2 linked regions of the Kluyveromyces lactis genome follow. The protein of the gene in region 2 binds, or shares a complex with, the protein of the main gene of each other region. Links are inferred from orthologs where the notes say so. Each region holds a gene or a part of one and is shown on either strand. Other genes may lie near its edges.

Evidence for each region. Proteins that work in one complex are often made in the same cells at the same time.
Region 1: the proteins of RSA1 (region 2) and HIT1 are in contact, whole or in part, in an NMR structure (PDB 2MJF), measured with the Saccharomyces cerevisiae proteins. The link is inferred for Kluyveromyces lactis from reciprocal best matches to the Saccharomyces cerevisiae genes RSA1 and HIT1. Residues at the interface, in NP_015131.1 of Saccharomyces cerevisiae: Glu320, Asn321, Ser322, Gln323, Leu324, Leu325, Asp326, Phe327, Ile328, Arg329, Glu330, Leu331, Gly332, Asp333, Val334, Gly335, Leu336, Leu337, Glu338, Tyr339, Glu340, Leu341, Glu345, Leu349, Phe350; in NP_012589.1 of Saccharomyces cerevisiae: Asn71, Lys72, Thr73, Leu74, Lys75, Thr76, Phe79, Tyr83, Leu89, Leu93, Asn96, Thr97, Lys99, Phe100, His101, Leu102, Ala103, Val105, Tyr106, Leu109, Asp124, Lys127, Glu128, Ala130, Val131, Leu134, Asn135, Arg138, Phe151, Cys152.

Annotation. Positions count from the first base shown.
Region 1 is NC_006039.1:1,271,947-1,275,469, reverse strand, and holds HIT1 (Hit1p), read right to left. Parts: upstream 1,740-3,523; coding exon 1,242-1,739; downstream 1-1,241. Other genes in the region: KLLA0_C14586g (Brix domain-containing protein), read left to right, coding at 1-950; PIB1 (phosphatidylinositol-3-phosphate-binding ubiquitin-protein ligase), read right to left, coding at 2,275-3,255.
Region 2 is NC_006041.1:1,720,602-1,724,919, reverse strand, and holds RSA1 (Rsa1p), read left to right. Parts: upstream 1-2,144; coding exon 2,145-3,173; downstream 3,174-4,318. Other genes in the region: DDC1 (Ddc1p), read left to right, coding at 1-821; pyruvate transporter MPC1, read right to left, coding at 1,020-1,394; KLLA0_E19317g (uncharacterized protein), read right to left, coding at 3,192-3,590; KLLA0_E19295g (uncharacterized protein), read right to left, coding at 3,870-4,318. UniProt on the Saccharomyces cerevisiae protein: Involved in a late nucleoplasmic step of 60S ribosomal subunit assembly.

The DNA of each region.
Region 1 (3,523 bases), on a different chromosome or scaffold from region 2:
TCGAAAAAGTTATTGTTTCCATGTTTCAAAATGTTTTCCCACCTTTGAATCCAGCCAAAATTCAATTGAACTCAATAAACAGAGTATTCATGATCAATAAAGACCAGACTACAGGTGAAATATCGTTAAGACATTATGCGATAGATATAAGAGAGGTGGATCTTTCTAAGAATTTGAAGAAGTTATATAAATCAAAACAGAAGCTAAGCAAAGCCGTGCCGAATTTGCATAGAAAGGACGATATCGCTTCGTTAATACTGGATCACGACGTTGCAGCATACACTTCTGAGTCCGAGATTGAAGAAGATGCCATCGTTAAAGTAATGGACAAAGAGCACAAACACATTAAGCATATACCACACCGTTCAGTAAATAAGGATACCGGTGAAAAACCAGCCAGGCTATCTGCTGATGGTGATGACGACATAGAAATGGATGATGAAGATGAAGAGGAGGACCTTAACGTTAAAGAAGAACAGGAAGAGGAAGAACAGCACTCAACACAACAACCAAAAAAGAAAGCTATCAAGCTAACAGAAATCGGACCAAGATTGACGTTGAAACTGGTTAAAATCGAAGAAGGTATCTGTGCCGGTAAAGTCCTACATCACGAGTATGTTAAAAAGTCTGACTCGGAAATCAAAGCTTTGGAAAAGAGACATGCACAAAAGATGAGACTAAAGGAACAAAGAAAGAAGGAACAGGAAGAAAATATTGCCAAAAAGAAGGCTGCAAAAGAAGCAAAGAAGCAAAGGAAACTGGAGAGAAGAAAGGCCAGAGAAGAGGCTGCGGCTAATGGCGAAGATGGAGAAGAAGCTGAATCAGGGCAAGATAATTCTGATTCTGACTCATCTGATTCGGAAGAGTCAAGTAGCGAGGACAACTATAGTGATGTTCCTGAAGACCTTGATAGCGATCTATACAGCGATATCGACGAAGGAACTGACTAAAAGATCAATTCCCACTGCAGGTTGGAAAAGAAATACAAACGCAAAAATACTGCCGAATGAGTACCATTAGCGCACGTTATAGATAGGTTAGTATAAACAGATAAGCAATAGCCCAAAGAGCATATACTGTTTTAATCTTTAGAATGCATCTATGTAATATAAACATTTTCCGGTCGACCGATTGACCGATAACTGAGAACAGTGGCATTGTGCTATTGATGCTAATATTAAAATTAAAAATAAAGAACTACATAAGTTCTCATATGCAATTTACGTGTGAGAAGAACAAATCTAGATATGTTCTCGCAGTAATTCTAAGAATATCTGACAAAACTCTTCAATTGCCTCATTACAATGAATTCCACCCGTCCTTAATGTATTGAGATAATCCGTGGCAAGTTCACGCTTCATATCCGAAGTCATGGAAGCATCCGATGACCCGCCGACAGTACTGACGTTAAGAATCTTGTAAACTTTATCCAAGTGGAATTTAACTGTATTGTGTCTTAACAACTCACGGATACGGCTGTCAGTCAAAGCGTATTGATATTTATTAAGCGGAGTAGGCACCGACTCGACTGAATCAGTTTGAGATCCAGGAACTGAGACGGTATCATCGGCTTCCTTCACGGTAGTACTGTTAGATTCTGGATCAGTCTTATTACTTTCTACATTATCTGATTCTGACTTCTTTATGTTCTTGTAACAAACTAACGAACAATACCTAACCGATGATTTTGGACATCTATAAAGTGCTTCTTTATCACCACAAACCTCACACTTAACCATGACACAAAGTTAGTTTACCTCACACGGTATAGTATTGTACGTCTCCCAAAGTAGCTTGTTATCCCACAATCTTTTTATTCTTAATCTCATCTCATCTCATCATCACTCATACATTACATTGCATACGTGAAGTTTAAGAGTCTCTTTTAATTTCTTTTCAGCCCAAAGCTACATTTCGTTAAGTATGTGTTTCGCATCTGTTTCTCATATGTGTCGTGTTGCCATCCTGTTTCCCACATGTCTTTCGCCATCCTTTTCGTCTACTAAGCAGTCAGCCAGGCCAGTAAGGAGGAGTGGAGGAGGGTAGTGTGGTAAACTGGCAGGCAAACCAAAAGGACCAAAGAAATTGGAACACTCGGGACATTTTGACTTTCTTTAGGTCAAGTGATAGATAATGACGGACAAGTAACTGCAAGTGGCTTTTATAGTAAGCGAAGGTATATATATATGTGATATTGTATGCAAGTTTGTGCTGTATGCAAATTATGTATTAGGTAGTTATTAGTATTGGATATTAAACGGCTTAAAAAGCACATTAGTAGTATACTGCGTCATGAAATGGACAGTAGTTTTTACCAAGCATGGAGACAGAGTCCTGAGTTGCGGAATTCACCGTAGCTAATTTTTGTACCTTCTTCTTAAACCAACTCTTTATACAGTGATAATGAAACACACATAGGCACTCTAGCCTACCGACTTTTTGTCCTGGAGCCATTTCTTCGAAACATATTGGACACTCTTGAATATTCGTAGCGTTTTTAGGTATTTGGTATACGAGCATTCTGTTCTGGTAAGTTGGACTTCCGATAAGACTATGCTGCTGTTGAGCAAGTTCTGCTTGCCGTATGCATTCGCTTACATGTTCTTGTTGGGCTGCTTCTTCTGATCCGAAAACTTGTAAGTCAAAATTACAAATTGGACATCGATCGTAATCTTCATCAGCAGCATGTATATTCCTGGGACTATTTCTCTCGCTTTCAGTTTCTCGTACATTTTCCACAACGTTTTGGTTCTTCATAAATTCAAAAGGCCTTATGGACGATGATCGGATGGAGTTGATTTCGGAAGTAGATCCCATAGAATTTCCGATTCGTCTTGGTGGTTTCGGTAACTGTATTTCACCCCACGCAGTTCTCAGTAGCTTCATTTGTAATAGATTTTCATAGCAGGAATCACAAGTCCTGTACGGTTCCATTTCATACTCTGCTGGACTTTTCAAAACCACTTTAACCCGGTTTTTATCATACCATGCGAATTTTGAACAACAAGTAGCACAATAAATTCTGCCACAACATCTACAGTGATGACGCCTCACTAGAAAACTAAACTTGATCCCACAACTTAGACACTGCGTCACATTCTCATCCTTTTCCCACTCGCCAAACTCGTTCACAAACTGACTGGAAATATTACCATTCCGCCATCTGTCTCTGTCTCTCCTTGCATTATCCGAAGAACCAGTGACAGTCATCGTTTCACCATCGACGTGCCCTGCCACCAGAGCACCAGTAGTCATGTCAAAAATTCAGCTGATTTTCTATGTAGCAGCCAATAACCTGCTGTGTTCACAGAGTGCTCTACTGTCTTGGACAATTGATTACAGCCACTATTGTGCTTTCATGATCTCATCCTTAAAATGATGTGCTTTCTGTTATAAAACTGATTCTGTTGACAAATTCCTAATGTTAGCAGCATACATTCTGAAAAAAAACCATGAAATCGAGGAAACAATAGGTGAGAAACAATACTTTACCTACAATTAGACAGACAATTGCCTGAAAACA
Region 2 (4,318 bases):
AAGCAGTTACAGTAACGAATACATGTAGCGCAAATGATCTAGAACATTACTGCATATTTTCAACAGAAAAAAACGACGGTTCGAGACCTTCAAGCAGATCACAAAGTATTAAGAAGAGCATTACGTTCAAATTACGAGATTTCAAAGTATTCTTAAATGGACTTAATTGTTGGAAAACAAATGACATGATAAGAATCTGGTTTTGCCAACCTGGTGACCCCATTCTCTTTGAAATAACAAAAGATGGGGTTGTATTGGAATTAGTGCAGGTAACTGATACCGAGGGTAGGGTCGAAGAACCAGAGGATTCTGTCACCCAATTTAACCTGTCACCAGAAAAGATAGTTTCACCAATCAAGAAGGATACCGTAGTGAAACCAGATAAGCTTCAAAGGCCGGAAAGTAAGCAGATGCTGTATCCACATACAAAACGCTCACTATTTATAACGGATGAGGATGGAGCAGATGATGATGACGAAGACGAAGAAGGAAGGCAATTCAGGTTTAAAAGGTGGGGGAAACAAAATAGTAACACTACTCCCAATTCAAACACTGGCTCCCAGTCAACACCATCGAACACAACAACCGAGCCGTCAATTAGCGAGCCAGTAAAGAGAATGAGAACAACTGTCGAATGGGGAGGAACAATTGAATCGAACAATGTCGGTACAGATGAATCTCATCAAAGAGAAATGAACAAGGCTGCTTATCTAAATAATTTGAAAAGACAAGCAATCCAAGAAGATCTCAATCTACAGGAAGAAGATGATGGCATGGGTCCCACACAAGCTGACAGACCTAAAGGTTTGTTCGACTCTTGATAATAAAGAACGAAAGAAGTACTTTATTTTTCATTTCGAAATGAATTCATAAACTGTAATTGAACATATAGACATATAATATACAGTACGTAAATAAACTTAGCATTAAATCTTAGATAACAGACCTACACAGTAGTGTAATCTAAGCCATGGGAGAAAGAATGTTGTTTTGTCGGCAGGTTACATTTTCTCTTGCATCTAGGCTGTCTTGGCGACATTGGCGTCAGTAGCGTCAGCTTTCTTGCCACCTAGATAATGATGGTTTAAATATCTGTAACCTTGCACAAGTTGGGCTGTTTCATTCACAACGTGACAACCGAATAACAAGAAGTTCCTTGGGGTAACAGCTAGGGAATATCTCATAAACACACCAGAGTACATCACTAGAGCCAGCGTCATAGGTCCAGAAATCATCTCCGGATCCTTCTTCAAATCGTAGATGGCAGCAATTGGGATACCGAAGTTTGAAACTGGACCCCAGAAATGTGTGGTGAAGACATACTTTAAAGTTTCCTTGTTAATGTATTTGGAAATCAAAGATTGACTAGCAGCTCTCTGTACTGGTTGGGACATGATTCAGGGATTATAAACTGTTGCCGAAGTATAATTTACTGAGTTAATATTAACGTAAACCAAACTAAAAAAAGAAGGATAACAATGAATGAATGGGAAAACGAGAGGCCAACTAATAACTCAGATCGAGTACCAAGAAGTTCTTCAATGTACCTTTAAATCTTTTCTGAAAACATTTAAACATTTTTGTTGAGCTTTAAAAGTCTTCAAGGTTTCGAAGCTTGAAAAATTCACCGCTGCAATACGATTTTCACTGGTAAACCCGTTGGTGAGAGACTACCCACTGCACAGCTGATGGAAGTAAGAGGTATAAAACTACATACATGGAGGGGCCGCATAACCACCAACTTATAAGCCGACATATTGGGGGATAGATTTCTGATTACTCTCAGTGGTTAACTTGGTCAAAATCCGTCTCTCTTATGATTGGTAATAAGAAGACGTATATCAGTAAGGTCACGTGATATAGATGACACTGCGTAAAAGCTATAGCACCAGTGGAATGACTTGCGGGGACCCTTATGAGCCTGTTTGACTGTTACATATTTCAGAATATGTTTCACGGTTTACGAAGCATCAGTTACCGGTTTAAAACTTCAACACCTTTCTCCAGAACATTATGTATGTGAACGTAGGAAATTTCTTTTCATTATCTATTCATCTCATCTCATCTCATCTCATCTCATCTCTATCTGTTCAATTAATGAATATGATGGGAAGAAAGGCCCCAGGGAAGAGTATTCGAGCAACATGAATGGTCAAAACGTGTACAATAACTCTTCACAGGGCGGATCTGTGAATAATAATCTTTTGCAACATACGTTACAAACCACGCGAATGCAGTATTATCCGATACCTCAGATGAATCAACCCAACCAATACGGTGTCCCCGCTATGCAGCATGCACCAATGGGAATGAGATATGGGACCCACCATCCTTTCTATCCGAATCCGCACCAGTATCAACAGAGCTGGTATGGTTTTAATCAAGCGCAACCGCCATACGTGGATGTTACAAAATCAAGCAAGATCAATTATGATGATGAGGAAGAAGAAGAAGAGGAAGAGGTGATAGAGCACCAACAGTCAAATTTAGAGGCAAACGACAAAATCGAAGTACCCAAGAAGGGTCCTATCAAAAAGTTCGCCAATACCAATTTGAGGAATTCTGCTTTAGTTGAGAATAAAATAGCAAGTGATGAAGATGATAAAAGGAAAGAAGAAGAAGATGAAGAAGAAGAAGAAGCTTCTGCTGATGAAGATATCATAGAAACCGTCAAAGGATCAGATCTGTATATACCTGGAACTTCAATAGTGCTTAAAACGGAGGAGGATATCGCAAAATGGAAAGAAGAGAGAAGGAAGATGTGGTTAATAAAGATTTCAAATAAGAAAGAAATGTACAGAGAAAAGTTTAACGTCAAGGACGAAGACTTGAATCGTAATCCTCTCCAGGAGTCTAGAAAGGAGCGCTATTTTATTCAAAATATACAAAACCAAGTTAAAAGGTTTAATTATAAACCAAACTTGACGATAGGTCTTCATCAGAGAATCTTAAAAGAGGAAAACGGTAAGATCTTGGATTTCATCAAAGAACTTGGTGATGCCAATTATCTCAAATATGAACTTACAGAAGAAGAAAAAGAGGTGCTCTTTGGAGGCAAAGATCACAAGAATGACCAGAATAGACGCTCCAATAGGAGGTATGATAGGCAACTCAATCAACGTGATACTCAATACCGAAACCATTCAAGGAAAAGACCGATTGATGAGGTTTGAAAAAGGAAATCTTGCTTACTACTTTAACCCTTCCAATATAAAGTTAGTGACAGCTGAACCAATGAAAGTTCCTATTAAGATACCAGGGAAGAATTTATTCAATGCCTTTCCGTTATTATTGTCAGCAATATCAGCGTCATATTTTGCATCATCGTGGTACCGAGGTTTGTCAACTCGATATTTCATTTTGTGTCTTCCTTTAGAATGCCTCTTGCTCTTCCTCTTCTTATGTTTCTTCTTATCCTTGCTTTTAATACTCTCGTACTCTATATTGTGATTATCTGTATCGATCTTGGGGGAACTGACTTGTAGTATTCTCTGTGTACCATCAGTGCTCATGGCGGGCTCATCAATAAAAGTTGATTCATCTTGATTTGATAACATTCCATTATTTGAAGCAACCATTCTCAGTTGCATGAGTTGGATTACTGACCACTCCGGGAGTGTAGTTTTTAATCCGAATTGATGCCTATTCTAGTTCCTTTCCCTATTTTCACTTTATAAAGACCTTTTCTCTTCAAGTTTTCAAGCATTTATATGTTTCATTTGGGTTTCAGACATGAGGTATCACATATAATATAGATAATAACAAAATATATACTTTTGATATCTTCAATAAAGCATTCTAAAAAACTGTTATGAGAGTGTGGGTTGGAACATTCAATGATATTTATCAGCTGGGTGAACAATCCAAACTTATCCTTCGACAAAATTTGCAACAGTAGCTAAAACTCCCAAAGTACCAATGGAACCCAACATAAATCCTAATGAACCACTATATAAGTCAAATCTTCTCTTTCTACCAAATTTCTTCCCCTTAGCCTTATTCACCCTAAACGTCGACCACCTTGATCTGTTCCCTCTTCCTCTCTTATAGCGGCATTTGAAGTGATGGTGCTTCTTCTCTGGATCCATAAAAGTATGGTCATCATAGCCACTGTCGCTGTCGCTGTCACTGTTGATGTAAATGCATGCACGAGAGTGAGAGTTACCAGAAACAGACGACTCCTTGGACGAGCTCAGTGTACTGGGGTCAGAGGTTGGCTTGAGTGCTACCGTTGGCGCAGTATCATCTACCACAGCAACAACTTCATCCTCCTTGCCAATTTCAACTTTAATTTCCTCGTTCCAATCGGTTGCCTTGG